Schizosaccharomyces pombe: one gene and its partners. The protein of the gene in region 2 interacts with the protein of the main gene of each other region in a pairwise test. Each region holds a gene or a part of one and is shown on either strand. Other genes may lie near its edges.

What was found.
Region 1: the proteins of eap1 (region 2) and tif452 interact in a two-hybrid assay, tested with the Schizosaccharomyces pombe proteins (one large-scale study listed by BioGRID).
Region 3: the proteins of eap1 (region 2) and tif45 interact in a two-hybrid assay, tested with the Schizosaccharomyces pombe proteins (one large-scale study listed by BioGRID).
Region 4: the proteins of eap1 (region 2) and nup211 interact in a two-hybrid assay, tested with the Schizosaccharomyces pombe proteins (one large-scale study listed by BioGRID).

Annotation. Positions count from the first base shown.
Region 1 is NC_003423.3:1,132,408-1,136,172, reverse strand, and holds tif452 (translation initiation factor eIF4E, 4F complex E subunit isoform 2, stress response factor), read right to left. Parts: upstream 1,780-3,765; 5' UTR 1,675-1,779; coding exon 1,198-1,674; exon of another isoform or gene 1,108-1,197; coding exon 968-1,107; exon of another isoform or gene 911-967; coding exon 796-910; 3' UTR 554-795; downstream 1-553. Other genes in the region: met7 (putative folylpolyglutamate synthase), read right to left, coding at 2,131-3,432, 3,742-3,765. UniProt on the Schizosaccharomyces pombe protein: Recognizes and binds the 7-methylguanosine-containing mRNA cap during an early step in the initiation of protein synthesis and facilitates ribosome binding by inducing the unwinding of the mRNAs secondary structures.
Region 2 is NC_003421.2:747,152-752,180, reverse strand, and holds eap1 (eIF4E-associated protein Eap1), read right to left. Parts: upstream 3,451-5,029; 5' UTR 3,370-3,450; coding exon 3,275-3,369; intron 3,227-3,274; exon of another isoform or gene 3,192-3,226; coding exon 3,132-3,191; exon of another isoform or gene 3,022-3,131; coding exon 2,969-3,021; intron 2,890-2,968; exon of another isoform or gene 2,703-2,889; coding exon 1,417-2,702; 3' UTR 538-1,416; downstream 1-537. Other genes in the region: proteasome maturation factor Ump1, read left to right, coding at 3,651-3,884, 3,989-4,144; ribosome biogenesis protein Urb1, read right to left, coding at 4,429-5,029.
Region 3 is NC_003424.3:3,526,563-3,529,993, forward strand, and holds tif45 (translation initiation factor eIF4E tif45), read left to right. Parts: upstream 1-1,590; 5' UTR 1,591-1,596; coding exon 1,597-1,823; intron 1,824-1,891; coding exon 1,892-2,066; intron 2,067-2,200; coding exon 2,201-2,455; 3' UTR 2,456-2,884; downstream 2,885-3,431. Other genes in the region: SPOM_SPAC16E8.13 (ubiquitin-protein ligase E3), read left to right, coding at 1-385; AdoMet-dependent proline dimethyltransferase tae1, read right to left, coding at 594-779, 822-931, 1,033-1,300, 1,447-1,507, 1,545-1,579. UniProt on the Schizosaccharomyces pombe protein: Recognizes and binds the 7-methylguanosine-containing mRNA cap during an early step in the initiation of protein synthesis and facilitates ribosome binding by inducing the unwinding of the mRNAs secondary structures.
Region 4 is NC_003421.2:1,563,795-1,571,602, forward strand, and holds nup211 (nucleoporin nup211), read left to right. Parts: upstream 1-1,755; 5' UTR 1,756-1,847; coding exon 1,848-7,361; 3' UTR 7,362-7,456; downstream 7,457-7,808. Other genes in the region: 3-hydroxy-3-methylglutaryl-CoA reductase Hmg1, read left to right, coding at 1-1,353. UniProt on the Schizosaccharomyces pombe protein: Functions as a component of the nuclear pore complex (NPC).

The DNA of each region.
Region 1 (3,765 bases), on a different chromosome or scaffold from region 2:
TGCTAATTGCTGATTAACCAAATGATGAAGTTAGTGCTGAGCTTTATTTGTTTAAAAAACTTTGAGTATAAGCGAAGCGATAGATTTGGAATTGAAGTGGTGCACTGATACTCGACAATATTCCGTACAGTACATTGAAAAGTCTGATTGTAGATACTTCTTCACCAGATATCTAATTCTAAGCATACAGAAGTTGCAAGTAAATTTCCCCACTTTTCCCAGTACTCATTAAGCGCTGCATTAATTCGATTAAAAGGGCTATCTTCTTAATTAATGTTATCCGATTTCGACAATGATAAGAAGAAATGAAGGTCGCCTATTATTTCGAAATTTTAGTTTGATTCAAACATTCATGGATCCTTAGCGATAAAGGTTAGTTCCAACATTACATTAGATCCTCGGAAATAGTAAAATCATAGTAGACATTATTCAGCTTGAAATAAGCTAGCGATAAATGTTTAATATACAGGCGGTTATGAATAATAGGAAGATTTGGCGATCTAGCATATTTACATTCTTGATAGAATTTTAATATTTATAACGTAAGAGAAGGGTCAAATATAGATTATATCCATTAGCCTATTAAAATGCTCAACAAATATAACAAATTAAACTATTCATACGAATACACTAACTGTAAAGAGGCATCTATCTCATCTCAATAAGCTTGGTATTTTAGAGGTCTCAAAAACAAGAGGGCAATGATTGCAATAACATATTGTCATTCGTAAATGAACACCCCTATAATTTACCAAGCCTTAGAAAGTAAAAATAAAAACTTGAAACTTGATATCATTAAAGACTCATACGGGTTTTTGCTCGCATACTACCAGCCTTTGATGAATCCTCATGAGCACTATATTCTATAGTCTCTTTATCAGAAATCCCTAAAACTTCTTTAAAGCGCAGGCTACATGTTTGTTAGTCCAGTCAACTACCAACACGTTACTCTTAAAACTTCACATACCCGATTTTTTCCAAAACATCTTTGTCATTACAATTTCGTGTCCATACAGCGATTCTATAGAATCCTTTCCTCATATTGCAAACTACACCAGTAACTTCTTTCCCAGTAGGGTCTAATGTTTCTCCAATGGCTGCCAGCACCTATTTCCATACGTTAATACTTTCAACTTAAAAATTAACATTCTGTAAAGTCGATATCACAGCAGTTAAAATGAACAGACCATGACTTACCATATACAGCCACAACTCGTCGAGATTTGAACCTTTGTGCTTGCTTTGGTAGGCCCATTTCCCACCATTCATGTTTTGAGGATCCTCCCATTCAGGACGAATACCTTTCAAAAAGTAAGAGTAGTCCGATTTGGCGGGAAGCATCGAAGCTTTTGAGATCGTCTTAAAGATGCCCCAAAACTCTTCCACTGTCTTGAAGGAAATAATCTCTTTAAGAAGATCACTCCATTCAAGACCTTGTGTAGGTGGTTTCAAAAACCACAATGTCCATTCATGCTGAAGGGGGTGTGTTTTTACAAATGCAGTTTCAGCATTAACAGCCGATAGACCTTCAAGAAGGCGCGCTGGACGTCCCTCTCTTTCAGTTTTAACTTTTGGTGACCCAAATAAATCCAATAGATCTAGTTTTTCTGTGATTAAGGAAGTGTTGGGAAAACCCTCATTTTTTGAGTGACGCGAGTCTTCTGCATCTGCCATTTGCTTTTTTTAAAAAAACAAAAATATTAAAAGAGCTTAAAACGTTTTTATAATAGGCAGTTTGTAAACTAGGCTGGATGCTGAAAAGATGCGGTGGTCGTAATTGGGTTACGAGATCCAAGCAAAAGCAACTTTCAACACACTGTTCCTGTAAAATATAATTGTACATTCATACCTTAAATATTGGCTAAGTATATATAAAAAGTCAATAATCAGCCTTAAAGCTTTACAGTAAATTATTTGTTTGATTGGAAATGCACGAGTATAATCAAATTTCACACAGCTTTTTATCTGCATACTATTATAATTCGTGAAATCAAATTTGTTCCCCTTACGTGTCAAATTGTTAAAAATCATTTTGTAATTACAAAGATGCATAAAGCTATGTTGTATATCTAAGAATCATTTAAATCTCAAAAACAATGTTGCAAAATGTAGAACCTTTCTCCATTTCAATCAAAAAACAGCTTGATCTAGTACTACAAAAACACCACCAGTTAAATGCAGACTTCCGGTGACACAAACAAAAGTATTCCTGGATTTTTGCTTAATTGACATCACTGTCTCAATAGCTTCTTGGATGGTAGGGGCTACTGTTGCTTCACTAGTCGTGCCCTTCGATTCTTTCCACCATTTACATAAATCCTCTTGTACATGCAAAACGGGCTTATTATCAGTAATGGTATTAATGCTTAACAGCTCTGGATTATAGCCTGCATCCTTCCAGGTGACATTGGTTGAGAATATAACATGCGTAAACGAAATCCCAGTTCCCGAGCTTTCCAATCCTTTTAAGAAGGACCTAAGTAAAGCAATTGGATCATCCCTGCTTTGCTGGTTAAACAGAAGAATACGGGCATCTGCATCCTCATAAAGATTCTTCTTGGATGCGAGCCAAAGTCCAGTGGCCTCCAAACTTTCCTTGGTGTGGGCTCCATCAAAACACCATTTTATGTTGTTGATTTCCTCAATTTGGCATCTTCCAGGCCATTTTACATACTTGAGGCCGTCCAAAATTGCTGGATCCTGATATGGATCTCTATCAAAAGGGCACCCGGCCTTTTCATAGAATTCTTGGACTAAAGAAACTGCAAGGGATGTATTTCCAAGCTGATGAACTCCTGAAAGACCAATCATATCCGGCGTTAATTCAGCAGGAGGTATGACTACCTTAAGTGATGTATTTCGTTCAGCAGCACGGTTTTTTAAAACATTCATAGCCTCGGGAGCTTGCTCGCAAGTTAAGGCAATAGCTGATTCTTTGTAGATTCCAGCTTTCTGCCAAGCAATTTCTGCTATTGTGTTCCCCAACAAAGACGTGTGGTCAAGACCTAAGCTTGTAACTGCTGTGGCATATGGTTTTTCAATTAAGTTTGTAGAATCGTATTCACCACCAATCCCAACTTCAATGATAGCGGCATCGACATTCTCTGAAATGAAAACGTGCCATGCCATTAGTGTCAAGAATCGGAAATACATTGGCTTTTCCGAATCACTACCGACAGCATTCTCTAGGCGCTCCCATACATCAAAAAAATATTTAGTAAACAACTCTTGACTGATAGGTTTGCCATTTAATTGAATACGTTCACAGACAGATCGGAGGTGAGGAGAAGTGTACATACCAATGCATTTTGGAATCGACCTTTCTCCACTCTTCTGTATTTGCTGTAATATTGAGGATGTAAATGCACATGTAGAACCCTTTCCTTTAGTTCCAGCAACATGGATGACATTTAGTCGGTTCAAATCTGATGGCTGAGATTTATTAGTTAGTAAAAGTTGCATGACAGTATAGAACTATTAACAAAAAGATTTCGTAAAGAGATACAGGCTAAACCAGCCAAGTCAACAATTCCTATTGATATTTCCCTTTATAGACATGATGTGCTGTCCTTTCAATGAGATTATTATTATTAAAAATAAGGTGAAGTTAAAGAAAGGATCACAATCGAGTACTATAAAGGACATACAAATACTTGTTTCAATCTCGTTTAATCATATGCAGCGGCTTAAAATATTTGAGTGCTATTCTTTTGTAATTCCTAATTATAAGTAGTAACTTACCTGATATCCAATGCATCTAAGCCA
Region 2 (5,029 bases):
TCAAATTTATATATAATGGATAAAGGTGATCGCATCTAACATTCTTGGTTTACGAGTTATACACACTTATATATAAATATATATTTTTTTTTGTCGAAACGCAACTTTCAATCCTGCCTTAATTATCACTTTACACAATTAATTCTGTGCTAAAATTTTATAAGATTAATAGGAGTAAACGTGGGTGCATTTATAGAGCCTTTATCTCTGCTGTCTATAGTTTGTTTGATTCATACATAGATTTACCCAAATTCATAGGTGTAAATGTCCAAAAATAATTGTAATCCTTGCAATACGCCTTATCACTTATATGTTTTCATATTACTTTGAAGATAGTTTTGCACTTTGTAAAAAATATACTGGAAAAGATCTAGCGATGTATATTCCCATTTAAACAACTCTTTTATTCTATCGGTTGAAAATACCATCTCTTTTATGACGCTTAGTCAAAGTGAAGCCAATTATTAAAAAAATAAATATGAATTAAGAAAATAATATATATTCCTACAAAAACCCCAATCTCACATCTAAACATTAGGAAAATGTGATTTGATTAGTACGCATTAATTACAAACATAAACGTGAAAAACAACCTTTCATTATTTTTCGGCTAGCAGTATCACTTTGTCTAAAAATTTAGAGATGCTTTCTCTAGTTCGTATATCCAAAAGATAACAGTTTGGCTAGAGTAGAATTCTCGTAAAGAACTAAGTTTTCAACACATTGATTCTCGAAAAGATGTAATTTTTTAAAGAGCACACATCCATAAAAACACATGTTCACAAAAATTTTAGTAAAACATTGCCGGGAAACCAATGACTGTAGATTAGCAGCAACCAAAATTCCAGCAGCTAGCCAAACAATTGATCAGATCCATGCTTTAACATTTATAATACTTTTGAGAAGTGGAATTTTTTTAGTTCTATCTATCATGAACTGTTTTGTCTATACCTTGGTATGACACAAGTTCCCAAAACTGCGTATAACCAAAATACTCATCTTAATCACATACTTTAGACTCATGAACTAAAACATCCGATTAATCCTATTTTATAAACTGACCTAACGACTCCTAAAAATTATCTTCATAAACGGTTAATTAAAAATCCTTCTGTCCCATTTTACGCAGTATCCATTCATCAAATGACGATGTTGCAGTATATTCTGAAAACCACAAGGAGATTCTAAAAAAAGCCATATGTACTAATTAATTCACATATTAAAAATTCCTAAAACAAGGAAAAATCGTTCAAAGGTCTCCGGTTTATATCAGAAATCATAAAGCAAAGTCTATGTTAAGGAGTTTACCGACATTGCAGACGGAATAACAACTGCGCAGAGCATACATGCATACACACCCACTACTATAGTCAAATGAGAAACTTCATCACACCGTCGTGCTAAGGACACTGTTTTTTAATGTGGTGGTCTAGAAGTATCTGGAAATCCATAACCAGTTCGATTTTGATTATAAGCAGATGGAGGAAATCCAGGGGAATATGGGAAAGATGGTTGTTGATATCCGAAACCTGGGGGTGCCGATGGAATAGAAGCTCCAGAGGACAGACCACGGTACAAACCTGGAGGGGCTGAAATTTCCGGAGATTTAACTGCTTTAGGAGCATTCGTAGAAAAGCCGGGAGGCGGAGGGACTGATCGAGTATCAGAAGTCATAAGAGATCGAAAGAAGGAAGAATCATCATTAGAAAAGTTGTGATTACCTAAACCAGGAGGAGGAGCAACTGCAGACGGAGGTGAAAACCCAGAAGGTTGCTTTACCGAGGCAAGGTCTTGATTGGAAGGGTTGACATTAACTTGAGGCATTTGTGACAAAGCAACCTTAGGAGAGCCTGTCGTGCTTGATGCTTGTCTGCCAAGCATAGCTAAGACGCGTTGAAATCCTTCGGCGTCTTTGTCAATTGTAGCAGAACCTATAGTAGGAATAGGAGCAGGAGAAACAACGGTATTTGCAACTCGAGGAGATGGGTTATTTGACATATTTGGTGTAGAAGTCTTAGAAGTTTCAGGGCCAGCCAGTCCGTTAAAAAACTTGCTAAACCTCGAAGAAGTGGTTGTGCTGGGTGCGGCATGTACCATGGATTCAACTGTAAGGGCCGGAGAAGCAAAGCGAGGAGGGGTACCACCAGGTGTACTGACAGAGGGTACGACAGTAGCCATCGCTTGGGCAGCGGAGCGTTTTCCAAACAGAGAATCAACACTAATGCCAGCTCTAGCAGAGGTTGAAGAATTAGAGGCAGCTCTAGAAAGCGAAGCTTTTCCTGAAGGGGCTCCAGTGGTGGAAGTGACGCCGGGTGTTATAACATTACCTGCTCCAGCTTCTCCAGAGGATGCCTTCATCATACGCTTCCATGCTTCAAATTCCTCAGTAGAATTTGCAACAAGTGGGCCAGTATTACCAGCCCTTTGTTTCATCACCTTCTCAAGCCCCTCCATCTCATCACGATGTTCATTGTCTTTCTTGCGATTATGTCGTCCTACACTACTCCATGGTGCAGTAGAACCGGAATGACCAATGGATGACGACCGCGATACAGAAGCGCCATTTCGATAACGGAGAGAGGCTACACCGTTATACACATTTCCCAAAGAAAGCAAATCATCATGGCGACCGACAGACCTGCCATTCTCATTACTGCTAGCAAAACTAAGTTTCGGTGGCCCAAGAATAATATCGTCGTGTTCTAGAAACGTTAGTAAGGATTTCAACAAAGAGACGGAATCTATCGACAATGTCAAGGAAGCAACGTCAAAAACACGAATTCCACATCGACCTCATATCTGATGCAGAAAAAGGTAGAATGGATTCACATTATAATCAATCCTGTAGTAAACAACCATATGACATTTTTGCCGCATCTTTTTGAACGTGCATTGTAAGGATTCATAGTCAATACAGACAATTTTTTATGTTAACAGTCGACAGAAAATAGTAAACAAAATGACTTACTTGATTTAGCGAATTTACGATCTGACTGATATTGTCGTCCATCATCATCATGTCTATACAAAAATTTGTTAGTATAAAATCTCTAAAGAACTTATGAAGTGCAAATAAAGAACTAAAATCAATTTGTGTCGCGAAATTCACAGTATTCATATTTCTGCCCTACCTTTTCATTTCCTTTTCTTGGCGAATGTGCCGTTCACGATCTGCCTTCATAGCCTCCGGACTGTAAAACGTTAGCCAATATTCCATACTTTGGTTCTCGAAGGTGTTTTCATCAACCAAGATTATTTAGCATCCCTAACTTACAGAATCCATTCAGGCAGATTTTCTGGTTTTTTTATGAGCGGCGATTTTGATAGATATAGCAAATCTGCTTCTGAATATTGAATAACCTGCGACATCTTATCGCCTTTTTTGGAACGAGTTAATACCAATTGTGATGGTTTTTTGTGTTATTTTAATATGGTGGTAGTGGTTAAGTTGGCTCCATCTTGCTAGTAATCGCATGCAAGCTTAGTATGTCCTCCATAGTAAGGGTAAAACACTTCAATCTTAGTCGTAACAGGTAACATAGATGCAAGGTAACGATAGGCTTACGAGAGAGGATTCACTATTGTAGAAACTCATCCTAAACCACATATACTCGACAAAGTAGAGAATTGAAGGATCTCACAGATTTATAATGAAGATTGTTCCTGACGTCGAACCAGCTGCTGAAGTATCTGGAAACTTCAAAGTCTCAGTTTTAGAGCCCAGCATTCCAGCTGTACACCGTGTTGAAAATAAACATCCTCTAGAAAGTCGATTAAAGAATTGGGAGGCTCAACAGCAACAAATTCGCCTTGATAGCATGCGTAGAATTTACGGTTTGCATGAGCCTGTGCGTCGTGAAATGGAACAGAAACTCGCTTCACAGGTAGGTTATTAATGTATAGACTAATATAGTGCTATATTTACTTATTGTTGCACTTATATCTTCCCCCTCTTTTTTTTTCTTTAGTTTTACTGACTCAAGCATAGAGCTCTCGTCCTTTGGCTTTAGGAGGATCTGCAAACTTTCATTTAGATATTCTTGCCAATCGTGAGGCTGTCCTAGACGAAACCGACATATATGCTGCCCCTATTCCTTTGGAAATGACTTATCAAAATGAAATGGCCATTAGATATGGTCTCTAAATTTTTATGTGCATGAAACTTCTCTTCCTTCCCTTGACTTCATCTTTTTTTCTTGAACAACAAATTTTTCATACGATGTGCGCGTTCTACGAATGTCAACTCAATCGCAGATATTTTTACATTTATTAGAATTTTAGTCGAGATACGAAATTACAAGTTATCATCGTGCCGCTATTAATGAATTATTATTTCCTTCTCTAACCTTTCAACCCCGCAAATCCCATAATTTTAGTTAGCTAAATTTTAGCAGCCAAAAATTTTTTCTTTTATTCTCTTTTCCCTTTTTACGTGGTCGATACTACGGTATTTTCCTTTGTTTCTTGAAAACTTGGTATGACCATTTGTAGCATAGGGTATATTGCATTGTATTTAACCAACATTGGGCCTCCTCCCAATGCCACAACCTTGAGCAATATTTTTTCGATTAGTGTTCGGATTTCACTGTTGACTACACATGAGTTGTATAAAGTACATATCATTTCAAATACGTGTCGTCGAAGATATATTTTTAAATCCTGATTTGTTTGTAAACCAGCATGTAATAGAGTCAGTAGCCAGTAAACACTTTTGGTGTAATCTGTTGATGGATAAAGTAATTCATAGTACATCGGTATATCTGTAACATCAACATGTTGACGTTGCAGGTAATAACGATTAATTCCTACAAATAATGGATGTGTCGGTTTCATCATGACGGTCAAGCTGAAAGCATAAAAGTTAGCCATTAACGTGCTCAACCGATTTTCTGAAGAAGGTACATTCACAATTATACTAGCAAGTACTAGTTTAATTAAATGCTTTTCTCTAAATTTTTGTTCGTCCAGAATGGGTATAAAATTTCGTAGGAAATTAAGACAAGCAAAGCGTGCTTCTTCTTTAAAAAGA
Region 3 (3,431 bases), on a different chromosome or scaffold from region 2:
CAAATTAAAGAAAAGAGACGACAAGCTTAAGCGTGTCTCGTCTCAATTAGAGCATTTGAAGCATAATTATGAAGAAGAAAAAAGTATGAATGAAAATTTGCTGGTTCGCATTCAGACATTGGAAAAGCAAAATACAACAAAGAGCGATCAGATCGTTTCAATGCAATTTCAAATTAATGATCTTAATGAGCAACTTAGAGACCTTATGTTTACTATTTCTGCGTCGCAGGAGATTCAAAAAATGGGCCAATCCGAAGAATTACAGAATGGAACCATCGTTCTTCCTAATAACTCTACGGTCAGGTCTAATTCTGTTAAAAGTAAGAAGAAGAAGAAAAAAAAACCAGTCGTTCCCAGCAGTTCTGGTTCACTAGGTACAGACTGATATATTTTTACTACACATTTACGAGAATAACGTTTCATTTTTTCAATTTATGTTTGCATATAAAATAAAAATATTTATTCTTTTTGTTCTTATTACTTTTGTAAAAGTCAAAGCTGTTTCAGCTGGTTTTGGTAGTCCCTTTTTCAACAATAGTAAGAATCTCGCGCTTATTTCAATTGTCAACCATCAATTTCGAACAAGTTTAAATTTACGAGGAATGAGGAACAAGTGCATACATTTTCACAGGAAACAATTCTTCAGGAAAGCCATGTTGCAGAGTTTCTGCTACAACTACTAGGTTTGCCTTTTTAAACAGGGACTTCAGAGACTGTTCACAACGTGTTACGCTACTATCAATAGGATCAAAGGTGTCCTCAAAAGATGAAACATTTTCCTAAGAAGTCAGTTTTTTCCTACTCACATATGGGATACGAACCTTTACGCAAATGACTCCCTTCTCTTGAATTGCTTCACAACAGCGGCTAAGATAGGCAATCAAATCCTCATCTGTGAGATGGGACAAACACCATTGGTTCCAAATCAGCCCTAAATTTGTTAAAATTTGTTAAGATGACAAGCAAAGAAGTGGATCCTAGAGATTAAGCCTCATCTTGGACAAAATAAAAGCATCTAACTGATATACATACCATAACGGTTTTTTTCTGGAGTCCAATTTTGTAATCCGACATTTATGAAAGAGCAAGGCTTGGTTGCAAGCTGTTTTTTTGCCGTGGATATGAAATTTTCAACAGGTTCCACAAGATCGACATGAGAGGCTATCTTCAAAAGCACATTTTCAGTGACCCTTCCTATACCTGCACCACAATCAGCGGCCACTAAGTTTTCGATTTTTCCTATACGATAATTGAGACGATTGAGAAAAGTTCGTGATCCCACTACATCAGTTTGAGGAATCTGTAGAATGTTAATAATACAAATTATTTAAATAAATAGTCTTAAAAAAAGATAGAGATGTAACAGTAAGTTGAGATTGAGTCTTTTGAACGTTTACACCCGTTTTCTAAAAATATAATTCTCTTGGTAAATTTTCTTTTACATACACGACCAGTTCCCAGCCCTCCAAGCATTCCATCTACAGTTGGTTGAACTCCATTCCAATAGCTATTAAATTAGCCAAATTCTGTAAGCTTTCACATACTCAATCGCATCGCTATAAAATTTCTCGGGGTCCATTCTTTCTAGCCAGAACCATGCAGACTGAACAACCACCAAAAGAGTCACAGACCGAAAATACCGTGTCAGAACCGCAAGAAAAAGCTCTGCGGACGGTTTTTGATGACAAAATAAATTTTAATTTGAAGCATCCTCTTGCTAGACCATGGACTTTGTGGTTTTTAATGCCACCTACTCCTGGCTTGGAATGGAATGAACTGCAAAAGAACATAATTACTTTTAATAGCGTAGAAGAGTTTTGGGGGTAAGTAAATTGCTTATTCATTATTGTGATATTATAAATTGCTTTAACATTACTAACATTCGATTCAGAATCCATAACAATATCAATCCTGCATCTAGCTTGCCTATTAAGTCTGATTATTCTTTTTTCCGTGAAGGAGTTCGTCCAGAATGGGAAGACGTCCATAATAAGACTGGAGGTAAATGGGCTTTTCAGAATAAAGGCCGTGGAGGAAACGCTTTAGATGAGATGTGGTTAACTACGGTAGGTTTGATTGTTTTTAATGCTATGAGAAAAAGGTTTTTTGTAATATTTTTATTTTAAGTGAATACTAAAAACAGTTTTTTCACTCTTTTCTTTACTTTTTAATTTTTGGTTCGCAGCTAATATATCGCTAGGTTCTCGCGGCCATCGGTGAAACTCTCGATCCTACAGGCCAAGAAGTAATGGGTGTAGTTATTAACATGCGTAAAGGATTTTACCGTCTAGCAGTTTGGACCAAGAGTTGCAACAATCGTGAAGTGCTTATGGAAATTGGTACTCGTTTTAAGCAAGTTCTCAACTTACCCCGATCGGAAACTATAGAATTTAGCGCTCATGAAGATTCTTCCAAGTCTGGTAGCACTCGCGCCAAAACTCGCATGAGTGTTTAAATGATAAAAACGCTCTTTGTTTACAAAATAACTTTGGAGTTTAAAAGGTCCATGCTGCATAGCTAATTTGCTTATAATTGAAGAAAGGGAATTATTAATTAGCAATATACATATATTTGTGCGTATTGGGTGTATATTCCCAGGGTTTAAAAAAAGTTGATTTGAATTAATTTGTTTTACATTACTTTTCAATAGTATTGTATTATCATTACAGCGGAAGTACAAAAAACGACCTTATTGAATGGGTGGATAATTTTCGAATGTAGGAGTGCTGATGAGTTGCAGATGTCTTATCTGCTTTTCTGTAGGTAAAAGCATGTGAGCTAAAAAGTGGTCGAGGAATGAGATGGGAGAGACTGTCTAATCAAAAATCGTTTAGTTTTCCTTTTACATAATAATATTGAAAAAACGAGCGTTGGTGTCCCTTCTCTTCAATTGTTTGCATAATCGTAATACAGTATTCAAATTAGCAATGAGGATTCTTTCGGTGCTTTTAAATGTGACAATTCTGGTAATTATTTACTTTATATTCAAACACTTATCCATTTTGTTAAAAGGTTTGTTTGCTTCTTGTACTTAACTTTGAATCTATATGATGATTTTGTAAATAGTGTATTGAGAGAGAAGGAGAGTCAAAATTGCTTTAATTATTGCAAAAAAGTGTCTTACAAATTCAGCTATGCCACCATAAAACTAAGAATTTATTGCTCTAAAAAAGAAGCATTCCCTTGGCGAAAAAATATTGGGGAAAATCTACCAAGGGGCCAATTTCTTGTTAGACTTTTGTTAGCCCTCCTTCTTAAGTTCTTTCAATTTCCCTAATAATTGAATGGTATTATTTCTACCAGTTTACTACTTATTTTAATTTTGTTGTACAAATCATAGATATTATTTTACACAGTTTTATAATAGTGAAATCCGTTAGTATTTTTTCTAAGTATTATTTTTTATTATTATAATGGATAAATATTACTAT
Region 4 (7,808 bases), 820 kb from region 2:
ACTCTTTACAACAATGGTCAAATTTCAACTTTAAATGATGAAGAAGTTGTGCAGTTAACCTTAGCTAAAAAAATCCCTCTTTATGCTTTAGAACGAGTACTTAAAGACGTTACCAGAGCTGTTGTAATTCGCCGAACGGTCGTCTCCCGTTCATCTAGGACGAAGACACTTGAAAGCTCTAATTGCCCCGTCTATCATTACGATTACTCTAGGGTTTTGAATGCATGTTGTGAAAACGTTATAGGTTACATGCCCTTGCCCCTTGGTGTAGCTGGTCCTCTCATTATTGACGGTAAGCCTTTTTATATCCCTATGGCTACTACTGAGGGTGCATTGGTTGCTTCTACTATGCGTGGATGCAAAGCTATTAACGCTGGTGGTGGTGCTGTTACTGTATTGACTCGTGATCAAATGTCCCGTGGACCATGTGTGGCTTTCCCGAATTTGACGCGCGCTGGTCGTGCTAAAATTTGGTTGGATAGCCCTGAAGGCCAAGAGGTTATGAAGAAGGCTTTTAACTCTACTAGCCGTTTTGCTAGACTTCAACATATTAAGACTGCTCTAGCTGGTACTCGTCTTTTCATCCGTTTCTGTACGTCTACCGGTGATGCTATGGGTATGAATATGATTTCCAAAGGTGTTGAGCATGCACTTGTAGTAATGAGCAATGACGCTGGTTTTGATGACATGCAAGTGATCAGTGTATCAGGGAATTATTGTACAGATAAGAAGCCTGCTGCTATTAATTGGATTGATGGTCGTGGTAAAAGTGTTATTGCTGAAGCTATTATTCCTGGTGATGCTGTCAAATCGGTATTGAAAACTACTGTTGAAGATTTGGTTAAATTAAATGTTGACAAAAACCTCATTGGTAGTGCTATGGCTGGCAGCGTTGGAGGATTTAATGCTCATGCTGCTAACATTGTCACGGCAGTATATTTAGCAACTGGTCAAGACCCTGCCCAAAATGTTGAAAGCAGTAATTGTATAACTTTGATGGATAATGTTGATGGTAACCTTCAGCTTAGCGTGTCAATGCCATCCATTGAAGTTGGAACAATTGGTGGTGGAACGGTTTTGGAACCGCAAGGTGCTATGCTTGACTTGCTCGGTGTGCGAGGTGCCCATATGACCTCTCCCGGTGATAATTCTCGTCAACTAGCACGTGTCGTTGCAGCCGCCGTAATGGCTGGTGAACTGTCTTTGTGTTCCGCACTTGCTAGTGGCCATTTAGTTAAATCCCATATCGGACTCAATCGAAGTGCGCTGAATACTCCTGCTATGGACTCTTCTGCCAAGAAACCAGCGACTGATGCTCTAAAATCCGTTAACTCTCGAGTACCGGGACGTTGAGGGAGCAAGCTTGTTTTATAATATTGTCACATACACGATGATGACAAATTTTTTTAATTTTGATCTCCCCTAAAAAGTTACATCTTTGAACTGTTATGCCTCAGGAAAATTAGCTTTAAATTCTTTTCCATTTTTTATATATTCATCTTTTAAAAGAATATGGTATATCCATACAAGTATGTAGTTTACCTAGTGAACGCTGATTTATAGCTTAGGTAAGAAGACGTAAGGCAATGTATATTGCTTATGTCTAGTGACACAAACAAATGGATTATATTATACGGACTTATATTAGTTATCTCAATAAAGAATTTAAATAGATTTTTAATTGTAATGGTTTTATGACTTGAAATTGAATTTATTAGGGTATCAACTACCTCGTCGCTACACACCCATCGACTTACATTGCACCACCATAATAGGTAAGAACGTGTTTCAAACAAAGGTAGCGTCTCTAAACTGAAAAAATAGTTAGAAGCTATTTGTTTGAGGCAATGCACGATTCTTCCTGGACAGAAGCTGATATACTCGGGGTATGCAGTTTTCTAGACATACCAAAGACAAAAATTGATCCTTTACTTCAGGTGGACGCGTTTACATCCATATTAATACCTTTAATTAGTAAAAGCAAAGATTATGAAAGTATAAAAAATGATCGTATAGTTACAGAAGTCAATTACGAGCAACAATTGCGAAATTCGGAGAAGAAACTACTTCAATCAAACGAACGTTACGATTTATTAGAGGATGAGCGCAAGCTTTTAGAGAATGAACTCTCTCAAATCAAAGAATATCTTAGGGAGAAATCCTCTTCATATGACACTGTTTTGCACGATTGCAGTTCTCTCAAAAGTGTAAATGAGGCATTAAAACAAGCTCAGGATCAAAATTTGAAGCAAACTGCTCAACTTCAAAATCTTTTATCAGATAAAGAAAAGGAAGTTGAAAAGAAAATCACTATCATTAAAGATCTAAAGGATGCCCTTGCCAGTTCTACCCATCAAGTTTTGGAGCTTCAACATACACAACAAGAAAAAGCATCTTTGCAGACTAACTATGAGTTTGAGTTGCAAAAATTAACGCAGAAAAATTCGATTTTGGAAAATAATAACACCTGGTTAAGCCGAGAGCTTCAGGGTGTGAACGACAAATTGTTATCTCTTCATCAGGAGGCCTCTTTGGAAAAGTCTCAACTAAGTTCTCAATTATCTGACGCTGTTTTGGAAAAAGATGCGCTACAACGGAAAGTGAGTTCTTTGTCTCAACAGTTTACAGAAAGTAATTTACGATATCAGAATATTGTAGCTGAACTCTCCGAAATGCGAAAGCAATATGAGTTTTCGCAAGTTTCTTTTGAAAAAGAGATTTCTTCACAAAAGCAAATTAGTGAGTTGTGGATGGAGAAATGTGAGGATTGCTCTTTACGGCTCAAAGAGTTGCAGAACTCAAACGGCGAGTTGGAAAAGCTATTGGAAGCTGCACAATCATCTTTTGAAGAACAGCTTGAATCTCATAAGGAAGCAGAAGCTTCCTTGAAATCTCAAATCAATTTTCTAGAGAAAGAGGTATCAAGTTTAGAGTCTCAGCTAAAGTTGGCTAATGAGCGTCTTCGGCATTATGATGAAATAGAAATCTCAGATATGAGTGAATTGAAATACTCAAATTTACTAAATAATAGTATGAAAGGCTTTAAAGGTCAGTCCTCCGTCTCTGACTTGTATTCCGAGCGTTTATACTATAAACAGAAGTATGAGCAAACATGTCAAGAGGTTGAAAGGTTACAACGTAGCTATAACCATGTTATGGAAGAAGCGAATCTTCAGCATCCTTTGGTTAAAGAACAGTTTAAGCGATTTGCTCATATGCAACGGGAAATTGTTGCAATGAGTGAGCAATATCAGAAGTCATTGGAAGACTGTCAGAAAGCCAAGTCCCGTTACGAGCAATTAGAGACACTATTTAAAGATAAATGCACAGAGAATAAGCATTATGAGCAAGAGACCAAAGATTTAGCGCGACAGGTGCAAGTTTTACTTCATGAACTCGATTTGTGTGAGAACGGCATAGTGCTAGGCGTGGATAGTAGAAAGAAGATTAACTCCTATGTTGAAAAATCGCTCACTGAAGATGAAACTGATACGGATCAAATAATTTCAAGCAGGCTAGTTGTATTTCGTAATATTAGAGAATTGCAACAACAAAATCAAAATCTACTGTCTGCAGTTCATGAATTAGCTGATCGTATGGAGAAAGACGAAAAACCTGATCTTGATGGAGCCGAGATTCAAGAAGAAACACTGATAAAAGCTAACGAAACTATTGATCAACTTACTAAAATGTTGGAGGAGGTGAGCGATCAGTTACGCTACTCTTTAAAGGAACGAGACTTTTTTAGATCACTAGTTCAAGAGAATGAAAAACTTTTAGATATGGCGCCTGCAACTCCTAATTCCAAATTGAATACTAATTTAATTGAGCAGACTTCTTACCAGCGTTCGCTTATTCGACTTGAACAGCTAACTAATGAACTGGAGTCCCTTAAGTCAATTTCTCGTAACAAAGAAAAAAAGTTTGAGGAAGCTATCTCATCTCTCCAGCTCGAAAAATCTAATATTCAATTGCAACTTACCTCTTTAACATCTGAACGAAGCTTAGCCCTTGAAAAGCTAAATGATCTGGAAAAATCACTTGTTTTATCTGAAAGAAGTAAAGATGAACTTGATGAAAGCTATAAGTCTTTACAAGAGCAACTTGCTTCTAAGAAAATTGAAGTTCAAAATGTTTCTTCTCAATTATCAATCTGTAATAGCCAGCTTGAACAATCCAATCATATTGTTGATAATTTAAAAAGCGAAAACCTGCTTTTAACTTCCGTCAAGGATAAGTTGAAAGCCGATTTATCTAATTTGGAGTCGAAACTTTCGTCCCTGCAGCAGGATAATTTCCATATGAAAGCTCAAATTGAATCTTCAAATCAAGAGTATACGGCAACAGTGGACTCAATGAATAGTCGAATACTTGAACTTTCTAATGATCTTCGAGTTGCTAATTCAAAGCTATCTGAGTGTTCCGATGATGTTCGTAGACTTACTCTACAAAATTCATTTGATTTGAGGGAGCATCAAACATTGGTGCTTCAACTTCAGTCTAACATCACTGAGTTAAAACAAGACATAACATTGCAACGCACCGTGCGAAATCAGTTAGAAATACAAACCACTGAGTTGAAAGAGCGCTTAAAGTTTATGGAAGAACGGCAGGAGAACTTGCAATCTAAATTAATCGCGGCTAATAAAGACACGACACAAAATCCTGATAATGTTGAAGTCGAGGCTATATCTATTGAACTGGAAAGGACGAAGGAAAAACTTCGCATGGCCGAGCTTGAAAAGAGTAATATTCAACAAAAATACCTCGCTTCAGAAAAAACCTTGGAAATGATGAATGAAACCCATGAGCAGTTTAAGCATCTAGTAGAATCTGAAATTAGCACAAGGGAAGAGAAAATTACGTCCCTTCGCTCTGAGTTGTTGGATCTTAATAAGAGAGTTGAAGTACTAAAAGAAGAGAAAGAGTCTTCGTCCAAGGAACTTGCCAAACAACTTGAGGATGCTGTTCGTGAAAAGGATAGTGCACTTTCTTTCAAAAAAGATTATGAAAAAATTCGTTCAGATGCGGATCGTGTTATTACCTCTTTGAAAGAAGATATTGAAAAAGAAAGATCTCTAATGAAGGAGTGTCATTCTAATTACGAATCAGAGATCGTTAGTCATGGGCGTACCACTCAAAAATTGCGGGATTTACGTACTGAATTTGACGAGGTGAATACGAAATATTTAAAGCTCAAAGCAAATTTTGAACAGCAGCACTCAGGACTTTCAGGTGCTGAAAAGGATTGGAATATTCAGCGGAAAGCCATGGAAGATGAAATTAGCTCCTTGAAAGATTACATTTTGGGACTTGAAAATCAAAATAAACTACTACATTCGCAATTTGATTCTCTTAGTCAACAAATAACTGTTCTTCAACAGAATTCTTCTGAAAATTTAAATATATCTGCCAATTTAGAAGCCGTTCAAGATAACGATTTACGTGAACTTGTTAGCTACTTGAGGCACGAAAAGGAAATAATGGATAATAAATATGAGTTAACAATTCTGGATAATAGAGGTTTGAATCAACAAGTCAAGTCTTTGCAATCCACCGTTGATTCATTGCAACTCGAGCTCAACCGTCTGCAGTCTCTGCCTGTGTCAAATGACCAAACAGATACCCCCATTATCAGCGGAAGTCAAGAAGTTCAGTTACTTTATGAAAGTAATAGTGTCCTTAGAAAGGACAATGATGCTAAACTTGGAAAAATACAAGAGCTGGAGAAAGAGGTTGAAAAACTGAATGCTTCATTGAATCCCTTACAAACTGAAATAAATGAACTTAAGGCAGAAATAGGCGCAAAGACAGCAAGTCTGAACTTAATGAAGGAATACAATTCTCGATGGAAATTAAGATTTCAGTCCGTTTTGAACAAGTATGAGCGTGTTGATCCCACACAGTTAGAGGAGTTAAAGAAAAATTGTGAAGCATTAGAAAAAGAAAAACAAGAGTTGGAAACGAAACTTCAGGAGACAGCAAAAGAAACCGATACATTTAAGCAACAGGTTAATTCTCTAAACGAAGAGGTGGAAAATTTGAAGAAGGAAGTTGAGCAGGCAAACACCAAAAATACTAGATTGGCAGCTGCTTGGAATGAAAAATGTGAAAATTTGAAAAAATCCAGCTTAACAAGATTTGCCCATCTAAAGCAGGAATTGACCAACAAAAACAAGGAGTTAACCTCTAAGAATGCTGAAAATGAAGCAATGCAAAAAGAAATAGAGTCTCTAAAGGATTCCAATCATCAATTACAAGAATCGGCTTCCAGTGATGCTGAACAGATCACGAAGGAACAATTTGAACAACTCAAGTCGGAGAAGGAAAGAACTGAAAAAGAGCTAGCAGATTCTAAGAACGAGCTAGAACACTTGCAATCTGAGGCTGTCGATGCTGACGGTAAAACTGAAATTTCAAATCTTGAAAAAGAAATTCATGAATTACGGTCTGACAAAGAAGGACTTGTGCAACAAGTACAAAACTTGAGTGCGGAATTGGCAGCTTTACGAGAGCATTCACCGACCCAAGGAAGTTTAGAGAATGCTGATGAGATTGCAAGGCTACGTTCACAACTTGAATCTACGAAACAATATTATGAAAAAGAAAAGGAAACCGAAATTTTGGCTGCTCGCTCTGAACTCGTCGCAGAGAAAGAAAAGACAAAGGAAGAGTTAGAAAATCAACTCAACGAAAAGTCACAGAGAATAAAGGAACTTGAGGAACAAGCTCAAAAAAATTCTTCGGAAAATACTCATGACAATATTGATGACATGATTAAGCAGCAGGTTGAAGAAAAGCTTAAAGAAAATTCTGCCAACTTTGATGTTAAGTTGAAGAAGGTGGTAGCTGAGACAGAATTTCGGAGCAAAGCTAAAATATCTGTGTATGAGAAGAAAACTAGGGATCTTCAGAACAAAATTACACAACTTGAAGAAACTATTGAGAATTTGAATAAACAGCTATCCAATCCTGAAAAGACTGATGAATCTACGTCTTCTGTAACAGAAACAAAGCCTGTTACTTCCAAACCAACAGCTAGCAAAGCTGATGTTGGTCAGAATGCTACAGAAGCTTCGTCAGCCAAGAGAGAACCTTCCGGTAAATCTCTGAGTGCAAGACTTCAAGGAACAGGCAAACAAAAAGGTGTTCAACGACCCGCTGTTTCGCGTCCTGTTCCTATGAAACCAGACAGTGGAAAACTCTCAATAACTGGAGCTTCCAAACGAATTGCTACTTCAAAGAATGCTGCCCAAAACGCTAAAGAACTGTCAAGCACTGCTAAATCCGGCTCCCTTAAAAGACAACGTGACGATGCGAACAAAGGAGGATCCAGTTCGAACCAAAAGAAAGCAAAATAGATGTTTTCATATGGTTCATAAATCACTCTTAGGACTATTCATATTTAGTTAACATGATTTATAATAATGACATGAGTAAATTTTGTATTATAAAATTTTTGTCTTATTTGTATTTCTGATTCTTACACAGACTGGTTTTTGCTATTTCTTGATTTTGCAAAGTAAGTACTTTTTCGACTTACTTATTCCATTATTATTAGAGATAAGATAAGAAATGCACGCTAAAAAGTAAATTCACTACTTAAAAATGTTACCACGACTATTTGCAGAAGTACAAATTCAGTCAAAATCTACATATGAGTAAGAGAACAAATGTCAAAACTAGAATAGTTAAATTTAAATGGATTGTTAGTCCATGATAATTACAGAGAATAAAGTGAACTAAAAAACTCGGTCTTAAACAAATTGCGATAACTTTATACAACAAAAAAGAGAAGGACCATCATT